2 linked regions of the Ovis aries genome follow. Each later gene encodes a partner of the first gene's protein in a complex. Links are inferred from orthologs where the notes say so. Each region holds a gene or a part of one and is shown in the gene's direction. Other genes may lie near its edges. The genes, in order: BCL2L1 and BAD.

Region 1 (4,280 bases):
CCCCTGTGCGTGGCAGGCGCTGCGCCCAATGGGAGCCCTCGCCGTTCTGCTTCCGTGCTACCTGAGCTCATTGATTGGCTACGCCGGGGCGGGCCGCCGGGGGCGAGACCCCACCTCCCAGAAAGGTCTAGGGGGCGCCCCTGAGGGAGAGCGGTTGCCTAGCAACGGGGCGGTGGCCAGGCGGGTACCCGGCCTAGCGCGCGGAGGAAGCCGCGAGGCCGCAGCCCACCCACCCCGGCCTCTAGAGAGGTGCAACCCCGGGCCCCTAAGCTCCCGGGGGTGCCAAGAAGCCAGCCTGGGCCTGTCCCCAGGAAAACGTAGTCTCAGCTGTGGGGGGTCTCGAGCAGGCCTCGACCCTTGTCTCTGACCGGTGGAGAGGCTCGGCGCCTCACCCTCGCCCGGTCTTTGTGCAGGGCGCCGGCGGCCATTGTGTCCGTGCGGGGAATGGAGGACCCGGCAATCCCCCACTGCCACCGCCACTACCAGGGCCTTTGGGGAATTCAAAGAAAGCCAGCGGCGTTTCTGGGGGGTCTCCGGCTTTCAGCCTCCCAGAAAGGCCCGGGGATGGCCTTTCCAAACTCAGACCGCAGATCCAAGGCAGTGTTCCCCTCCCTCTGTTTCTCATCGAAACCTTGAGCCCCATCGAGAAGTCCCTTCAAGGTTTCTTCGGAAGCCTCACCCAGGGCTGATACTGAAATAGAAAAAAAAAAAAAAAAAAACTAAAGCTCACACCAGCCACCTCCGAGAGAGTTCTCCTAGCTCCCAGTAGGAGGCGGAGAGCCAAGGGGCGTGCAAGAGCGAGGGGGCTGGGCTCCCGGGTGGCAGGAGGCCGCGGCAGCGGCCGCCCTCGATCGGGGCGATGGAGGAGGAAGCAAGCGAGGGGGCCGGTTCTTGAGCTTCGTAATTCCTGTGTCGCCTCCTGAGCTCTCAGTTCGCCGGGTCGCATGATCCCTCCAGCCGGAGCTGCTTTTTTTGCCAGCCGCCGCCGCGAGGCCGGTTGACTTACCGGCATCCCCGCTGCCACCTCCTCTCCCACCTATGATACAAAAGATCTTCCGGGGGCTGCACCTGCCTGCCGTCGCCTGAGACGGATTTGAATGTAGGTGGTGAGGGTTTATGGGGGTGGGGGGCAGACTGCCCATGGGGGTGACTTTTCGAGGAAGACATTTCAGAGAAAAGGGGGTGGCTGGGATAAAAGGGGAGGAAAAAAAGGCCGGTGTGATGATTCAGAGCCCACTGGTGCTTTCAAATTGACTTCATCGAAGTACCTGGGAAGCTAGACCCATATCTTCATAAGAGCGGCAGAGAACCCAGTTCAAGTACCTGGAGTGGGGAATGGGATATTGTAGGTAAATGGCTTGCATATTCATTTTTTCCCCCCTGAAGCTCTTTCTTTCCCTTCAGAACCTTGTCTTGCCTTTGGATCTTCGAAGAGAACCACTAAGCAGAGACCAGACCCAGTGAGTGAGCAGGTGTTTTGGACAATGGACTGGTGGAGCCCATCCTTATTATAAAAATGTCTCAGAGCAACCGGGAGCTGGTGGTTGACTTTCTCTCTTACAAGCTTTCCCAGAAAGGATACAGCTGGAGTCAGTTTAGTGATGTGGAAGAGAACAGAACTGAGGCCCCAGAAGGGACAGAATCAGATATGGAAACCCCCAGTGCCATCAATGGCAACCCATCTTGGCACCTGGCGGATAGCCCTGCGGTGAATGGAGCCACCGGCCACAGCAGAAGCTTGGATGCCCGGGAAGTGATCCCCATGGCAGCGGTGAAGCAAGCCCTGAGGGAGGCAGGCGATGAGTTTGAACTGAGGTACCGACGGGCATTCAGCGACCTGACGTCCCAGCTCCACATCACCCCAGGGACAGCATATCAGAGCTTTGAACAGGTAGTGAATGAACTCTTCCGGGACGGGGTGAACTGGGGTCGCATTGTGGCCTTTTTCTCCTTCGGTGGGGCACTGTGCGTGGAAAGCGTAGACAAGGAGATGCAGGTATTGGTGAGTCGGATCGCAACTTGGATGGCTACTTACCTGAATGACCACCTAGAGCCTTGGATCCAGGAGAACGGCGGCTGGGTAAGAACCACGCCCCTTATGTATTCCTTTTCCTTGGCTTCTGGTCAAATCCCCAACAACCTTTCCCCTGTGTCTGTTGTGCTGGGTGATTATTATTGTTTGTTAAGGAGACATAACTGGCCTCTTTGTATCACAGAGGTTAACTTCTGAAATACAGATGACCTAGTTCTGTGAGGACCAGACATCTTCATTCTGGTCTTCCTCGTGACCCTACTCTGTCATACTTGTGTTCCAGTTTCTCTGCAGAAGATAACATAGCCTGTGTGTTCATTTGGCCCCAAACCTTTGAGAATGCAAAGGTAACAGGTTACCCCTCACCCTGACATAATGGCTCACAACGTTAAGGGGTGATGAGTGGAATGCCTGGAGAAGATAGTGAATATCAGTGACCCACCAGCCCCTTCAGTCTTACTCCCTTGAGCTGTCAATCCTGTCCTGGGCTTCCCTCCTCCAAATCAGGTTCCCCTTATTTCAGAGTTTGCATGGCCTGGCTTTGCATCCCTCTGGATGGCTGAGGATTGTCTGATTTTAGGTTGTAAGCTGCGCCAATGGGCCAGTTGTGTTTGTGCTGTGCCCCATATTTATTGGCTCTAAAGTATGCGACTTTTCTGTGTGGTTGGCCAGTTTGCGGAGCGCTTGCTGTCAGCCCAGGGACTTTGCACCTCACTGCCTGGGTTGGTTGGGGAGCTCCAGCTGTTATGCTTGTCACTTTTCTGCCATGGCCCTGGGGCCTCTTCACTGAGCACTGTTTGCTGGCAATGCAAGAACCTGATCTTTGGGGCTCCTTGGGACATTGAGATTCAGTGACAGACTTCAGAAACAAACTGACACAGATGTGAGTCCCAGCCCTGTCACTTAACTAGGTGTGTGACCTTGGACAGGCCAGTTTACCTTGAGCCTCAGGTTCTTCCACTAAAAAAATGTGGCCAACCCTCTTGCCTTGCAGTCCTTGTAAATCTTGGAGCTGATGTGAGCATAGTGACAGGAAGTTTGCTCTAGTAGTTACTGTCAGATCCAGGTACACCTTCTGAAACTGAGTCGTGCCTCATTCCTTTGCCAGGGAAGAGAATTCCCTTGCCCTGATATCACCAAGTCAGGATGAGCTGGTGTGGAGGGATTCTTTACCTGTGGTCACTGTCAGCAGCTTTTGCTCTCTTGCAGTGAACTCAGTCATATCTCCTCGCTTATCTCCCTGCCTCAGGGAGGTGTAGGGCTTAAGAGAGGTATTCATTCTGTCCTTCAGAAAATTGAGCAGGCTGTGGAAAATAAGTCATCTATTGAAGGAGCTGAGGTGGAAAGGGCCACGCACCATGGACTCAGGAATGTTAAGAATGCAATTATCCAGAGGCTGGGCCTAGGGTGTGGCAGCCACTTCAGTTTACCACTGAGCAAGGGACCTCCAGGTACACCACCCCCTGTCTTATTTCCCATTTCTTTGCAACTTCATCAACTCTTCCCACTGCCAGTTCTTATAAAGAGCAGAGTAGAGGTCAGATGACCGGGGTGGGGCTGGGAAGGTAAAGGTGGAGGGCTTTCTTTGGCTCAGACTGACCCAACTTGAAAGCCTTTCAGTAAATGAACTCCCTGGGGGAATAAATGATTAAATAGTTCCTGTTGGTTTGTGTGATGACCTCTCTTTTTCCCTCCTGCTTTGATTTTCTTTAGGGGCAAATATTTGTTTAACTTACTACAGGAGGGACAGGATTCCAGCGTTTCTGACACACCCTCTGAGGCCTAAGTAGAGACTTGGGCCATTTGCCCCTCACTGTTATCTCTGGCTGGTGGTCCTAATTCCATGTGGGTTGTGGCCAACTGTTAACAAAAGGCAACATGGGAGAGGTTCCTGGCCTGCCAGCCAGTTGTCTAAGAGGGCCACCTGGACCAGAGAGTTGTTAGTCACCCAGTGTTGCGTGTGGAAAGAGGTCTTTGACACAGCAACACTGGGCAAGATCATTAGATCACCACTGGATTGACATTCCATCTTCTGCTGTCTCTTTGCCCAACAGCATACCATGTGTTACTTCCTCTTGGTGGACAGAGGGGATGTGTGCAGAAGAGCCAGTTATATCAGAACCGTTTCTGGGCACGTGTTCTTCCCGAGGCCAGGAGATAGAGAACATGTGACACTGGGATCCTTTGGGTAGAAGGTGCCGCCCACTTCCTCTCGGGGACCATTCTGTTTGAGCTGCACACTGGCTGC
Region 2 (4,383 bases), on another chromosome or scaffold:
TACAAGCCTCGGCTCATCTCTGGCCGACGCTTTGCCTTGGCTTTGAACACCACCTGGGGGCAGAGAGGCCCATTATTCTTTGGGGCCCTGGGGCTTGCTACCCCATGGGCCCACCCTCACCCATCACCATGGTTACCTGAGCAAAGTAGAGGTTCATGAGCGTCAGTGTGAAGAACTGCAGGCAGACAGGACAGCAGTAGAGAAGCCAGAAGGGCAGGGGCCCCAGGTGGTTGGCTCGGGGTGTGTCTCGAAAGTAGAAGGAGAAGAGGGTGGTACGCAGGGCAGCCCAGAGCAGACAGAGCGCCAGGAACACCGTCTGATAGCTGAGACGCTTGTGCCCATACAGGAGCACCAGCCAGAGCTGGGCATAGACGGAGAAGAAGAGCAGGGCATACAGGGTGGTGTAGGCTGCAGTCAGCCCCAGGGTCACGGCGGGCGGCAGCGCAGGTACCAGCCCAGCAGCAGGCACCAAGCCAGACAGGTTACTCTCCATGTCAGGGAGGGAGGCCTGAACCTGAAGACAGAGATGGAGGGGCCGGCAGGGGGCCAAGGAAATAAATACGGAGGGGTGGGAGTTGTAGGGTGCTCAGGCGGAAAGAAGTGGTGGTTGGCCGGGCCCTCCCGCCCTCGACAGAGGGCCCCTTGCCTTTGCGGGGCACAGGCAACCTGGGTCCCTCACTACGGGGTGTGGAAAAGACAGCTCTTCCTCTTCAGGGCACAGGCGGGTGGGGAAGTGGGGGGATGGGGGTGAAGAAGCCGAAGGAGTGGGGGTCCCTGGCCTCGGTCGCTGAAGTCGTCCCGGCAGGAGGGGGAGAGCCGGCCAACGCCAGTCTGTTCAGAGCAGCGGCCGCTGCTGGGGACGCTCAACGTCTGGCTCTCCCCCTCCCCAAACTGGAGGGCTCTCTCCCCTCCAACAATCCGGATGGGGAGGGCCTCTGCCTTCCGTCCTTGGATTCCGGACGCTGGCCCACCCCACCCCCCACTGCGTCCACTCTCCAACTGCGGGGGGGCGGGAGGAGGCCGACGCCCGGTCCTCAGGCCGCGGCTAGGGGAGCCGGCTCCGGTCGCTGGGACCCGGGGCTCCGGCTCCCCGGCTCCCGCTGCTCCGCCCCCTCCTGCGCCTGCGCGGCCGCCGTTCGCTACGCAAATTGCTCAGGGTCCAGTCCTGACTACGCAGGCCCGCGCCGCGCCCGGCGCGGAGCTGTTCGAGAATTGGCGCAACTTGCGCCACCGCCGGGTGCCAAGGGTTATAAGAGGCGGCGAGCGGCCTTGACTTTCCGGCTGCGCAGCATCCGGCCGGCGCCCTGGTGGGCATTGCCCAGAGCTACAGGCCCTCGCTTCCATGGGAAGCTGGCGATTCCCAGGCTTCTCTTCCCCATCCCCAAATCGAGATTGTGCCGCCCGACCTGGGGCGGTAACGACTTCCCTTCACTCGGTCTCTGAGGGAAACTTCCGCCCTCAGCCAAGATGGCCTCCGGGCCCCGCCCCCCGGGCCTTTACCCGCGGGGGCCCCCAGCGTCCCGCGCAAGCCCGCCCGCCCATTCTTTGGCTGGCTGCGTTTCCCGCTCACCTGGCCTGCCGCCTGCCAGGCGCGAGGTCTCCGCAAGTCCTATTGTCACCCTCCTAGGGGCCCCTTTCCCTTCTGCGCCGGGACAGTCATCCTGCCCCGGGTGGAGGCTCCCTCGCTTATCTCTAGTGCCCCCGAGTTGGTGCGGGGAGTGGCGCCCCTGACGCGGGCGGTGCGAGGTTTCCACCGCGAGGAGGAGGGAGGGGCGCTTCCCGAGCCGGTCACCCGGTTCGGATGGAGCAGTGACAACAGCAACAACAGTTGCCTCCGACGGCTGAACTTCGATTACGGCTTTGCAAAGTGCTTTCACCCACAGTAATCACCGCCCAGTTTACAAGGATCACTGACTCCTGAAAGAGGTGTCATTATCCCCATTTTACAGGAGTGGGAATTAAGTCCCAGAGGGGCTGAAGGATTTGTCAGCAGGAGCTGCCTTCCAAATGGGGACCCCGGAGAATCCCTCAGCGGCTCCCACAACGCCCAAGGCATAAGGAAGTCAGGAGCTGAGCATCCGGAGACGTAGAAGAGAATCAGAAGGAAGGCAGTGGGCGGGGCCCCGGGGAGTGGCCCCGCCTGCTGGCCAGCTAGTGACATCTCAAGAGCTGATTGGGCCGGGCCGGTGACAGTTTCCGTTACCCAGGCAACTAGGGCCGGGCTCTCTTTTTGCTAGAGGGACGCGGCGGGCCCGGGTCGGGGGCCTGGTTATCGGGCTTGGGGTGAGATCTGTGTGCCGTTACCGCGGGCGGGTCTGGCTGAAGCCTGGGCAGGGGCCTGAGGCTTCTCTCCAGCCCTAGAGCTCTGAGAGTTTTAGATCCTGGGTGGATAAGTCGAGCTTCTTGCCGGGCCAGACTCAACGGATAGATGTGCGCCAGGGAGGCAGGGTGGACCTGGGGTGCTGAGGTGGGAGAGGGAGCCAGGGACACCTGCGCCCCCAACCCTGCCAGCCACCCTTAGCTCCTGCTGTTCTCTAATTACTTGTCATCTTGCCCCCCTGCAGCCCAGAGCATGTTCCAGATCCCAGAGTTTGAGCAGAGTGAGCAGGAAGACTCCAGCCCTGCAGATAGGGGCCTGGGCCCCAGCCCCACAGGGGACAGGCCCCCAGGTCTCAGCAAGCACTGGCTAACAGCCCCGGGCCTCCTGGGGGAAGCTGGTCACCAGCAGGGGCAGCCGGCCGGCAGCAGCCACCATGGAGGTAGGCAACCCCCACCCCCCACCCAACAACCACCTGCCTGTCCAGCTTGCCTCCAGCCCAGTAGTTCTCTGCACCCCAGCCACATCCACATTCTGGGGGGCTTTGAGTAAGTCCCTCACCGCTCTGCACCTCAGTTTCCTCTTCTGTAAAACAGCAATTCATCACCACCCTGGTAGTGCTGTGGGAAAGATTAACAAGCATACCTTAGAAGCACTTAATTATAGAGCTGGTGTTTAGTAAATGCTCCAAGTATGTAGCTCTTAGCTTAGGACCAGGAGAGAATCACTGAGAGGCCAGAAAGGGGAAATGACTTGCCTAAGGTCACACTCACTTGGCATTTCCTTTGGGCTAGAAGATTCTGTGGTGCCTTACCTCAGGCTAGTGCTTTCCTTAAGATCTGGATCCAGTTCCCAGCTCTGTTCTTTCCCGCCCTGTGGCTCACACCCACACAGGGCTGTCCTTAACATTGCCAGGGCCAGGTAATCCCAAGAGGCAGATGGCCCTACCAGGCAGCAGGTCTGTGTGGGACTGGGAAAGCATCAGCTGTCCTCTGTATCTACTGAGGGAGACCCAGCGGAGATGGAAGGATGGGCCCTGGAGGGCAGCGGCCACGTCTTAGTAGTCCCTACCACCTGGGTGCCCAGTACAAGCCTTGGCACCTGGAACAACCACAGACATCTTCTGAAAACAAAACTCATGTCCCTTAACTGCTGCCAGTGTGACACCCTTCCATTTTCAGGAGCAGGAAGGCTTATTAATGCCCCCACCCCAGGGAGTTCCCTGGTGGTCCAGTGGTTAACGCTCAGTGCTTTCACTACCAAGGACCCCGGGGTTCAATGCCTGGTCAGGGAATTAGGATTACAGTTAAGAAAGAAAGAAAAAAGGTTGATATTCAGTTATTAGGGATACAATCTCTAAAAAAAAACAAAATTAAAAGAAAAAAGACCCCACCCCCACCACCCAGCCTGCTGTATGTCACACTGAACTCCACAGGCTTTAACTTCGAGATTTTTGCACTTGGAGTTCTTCTGCTTGAAACTTGCTTTCCACCCTGTATCTGGCTGTCCCCATCTTCTGTGTCAAGTGCTGAATGTGTGTACCAGCTGCCAGGGGTTCATCAGGGACTAGAAGAGAAGCTCTTGCCCTTGTGGTTGCCTACATTCTGGAAGATAGGGGGAGACAAGTCATAAACAAAGAAACAAACAAACTAGTCAGTGATACGGTACCTTAGCAGGTGATGCCTTAGGTGACATACCCTTGACTTTCTCTTTGGAATCCAGAGTGCTTGGGGGCTCGAGGGAGTGATTTGAACTGAGGTGGTCAGGGTGGGCCTTGGTGGTGGTGGTTTAGTTGCTAAGGCATGTCTGACTCTTGCGACACCATGGACTGTAGCCCTCCAGGCTCCTCTGTCCATGGATTTCCCAGGCAAGAATACTGGAGTGGATTGCCATTTCCTTCTCCAGGGGATCTTTCTGACCCAGGGATCGAACTCACGTCTCCTGCACTGCAGGTGATTCTTTACCAGCTGAGCTACTAGGGCCTTGGTAAGAAGCAACATTTGAGCCAAGGCTAGAATCTGATGAGGGCTGAGCCAGACAGAGATCTGTGGGAAGACAGATGCTGG

What was found.
Region 2: the proteins of BCL2L1 (region 1) and BAD are in contact, whole or in part, in a crystal structure (PDB 2BZW), measured with the Mus musculus proteins. The link is inferred for Ovis aries from reciprocal best matches to the Homo sapiens genes BCL2L1 and BAD. Residues at the interface, in NP_001276645.1 of Mus musculus: Ala93, Glu96, Phe97, Arg100, Tyr101, Arg103, Ala104, Phe105, Leu108, Gln111, Leu112, Gln121, Ser122, Gln125, Val126, Glu129, Leu130, Arg132, Asp133, Asn136, Trp137, Gly138, Arg139, Val141, Ala142, Phe146, Asp193, Leu194, Tyr195, Gly196; in NP_031548.1 of Mus musculus: Ala137, Leu141, Ala143, Ala144, Gln145, Tyr147, Gly148, Arg149, Leu151, Arg152, Met154, Ser155, Asp156, Glu157, Phe158, Glu159, Phe162, Lys163.

The regions. Positions count from the first base shown.
Region 1 is NC_056066.1:60,937,202-60,941,481, reverse strand, and holds the start of BCL2L1 (bcl-2-like protein 1), read left to right. Parts: upstream 1-1,476; 5' UTR 1,477-1,516; coding exon 1,517-2,080; intron 2,081-4,280. UniProt on the Homo sapiens protein: Potent inhibitor of cell death. Inhibits activation of caspases. Appears to regulate cell death by blocking the voltage-dependent anion channel (VDAC) by binding to it and preventing the release of the caspase activator, CYC1, from the mitochondrial membrane.
Region 2 is NC_056074.1:39,034,019-39,038,401, reverse strand, and holds the start of BAD (bcl2-associated agonist of cell death), read left to right. Parts: upstream 1-1,498; 5' UTR 1,499-1,926; exon of another isoform or gene 1,927-2,564; 5' UTR 2,565-2,572; coding exon 2,573-2,759; exon of another isoform or gene 2,760-4,383. Other genes in the region: integral membrane protein GPR137, read right to left, coding at 4-53, 137-493. UniProt on the Homo sapiens protein: Promotes cell death. Successfully competes for the binding to Bcl-X(L), Bcl-2 and Bcl-W, thereby affecting the level of heterodimerization of these proteins with BAX. Can reverse the death repressor activity of Bcl-X(L), but not that of Bcl-2.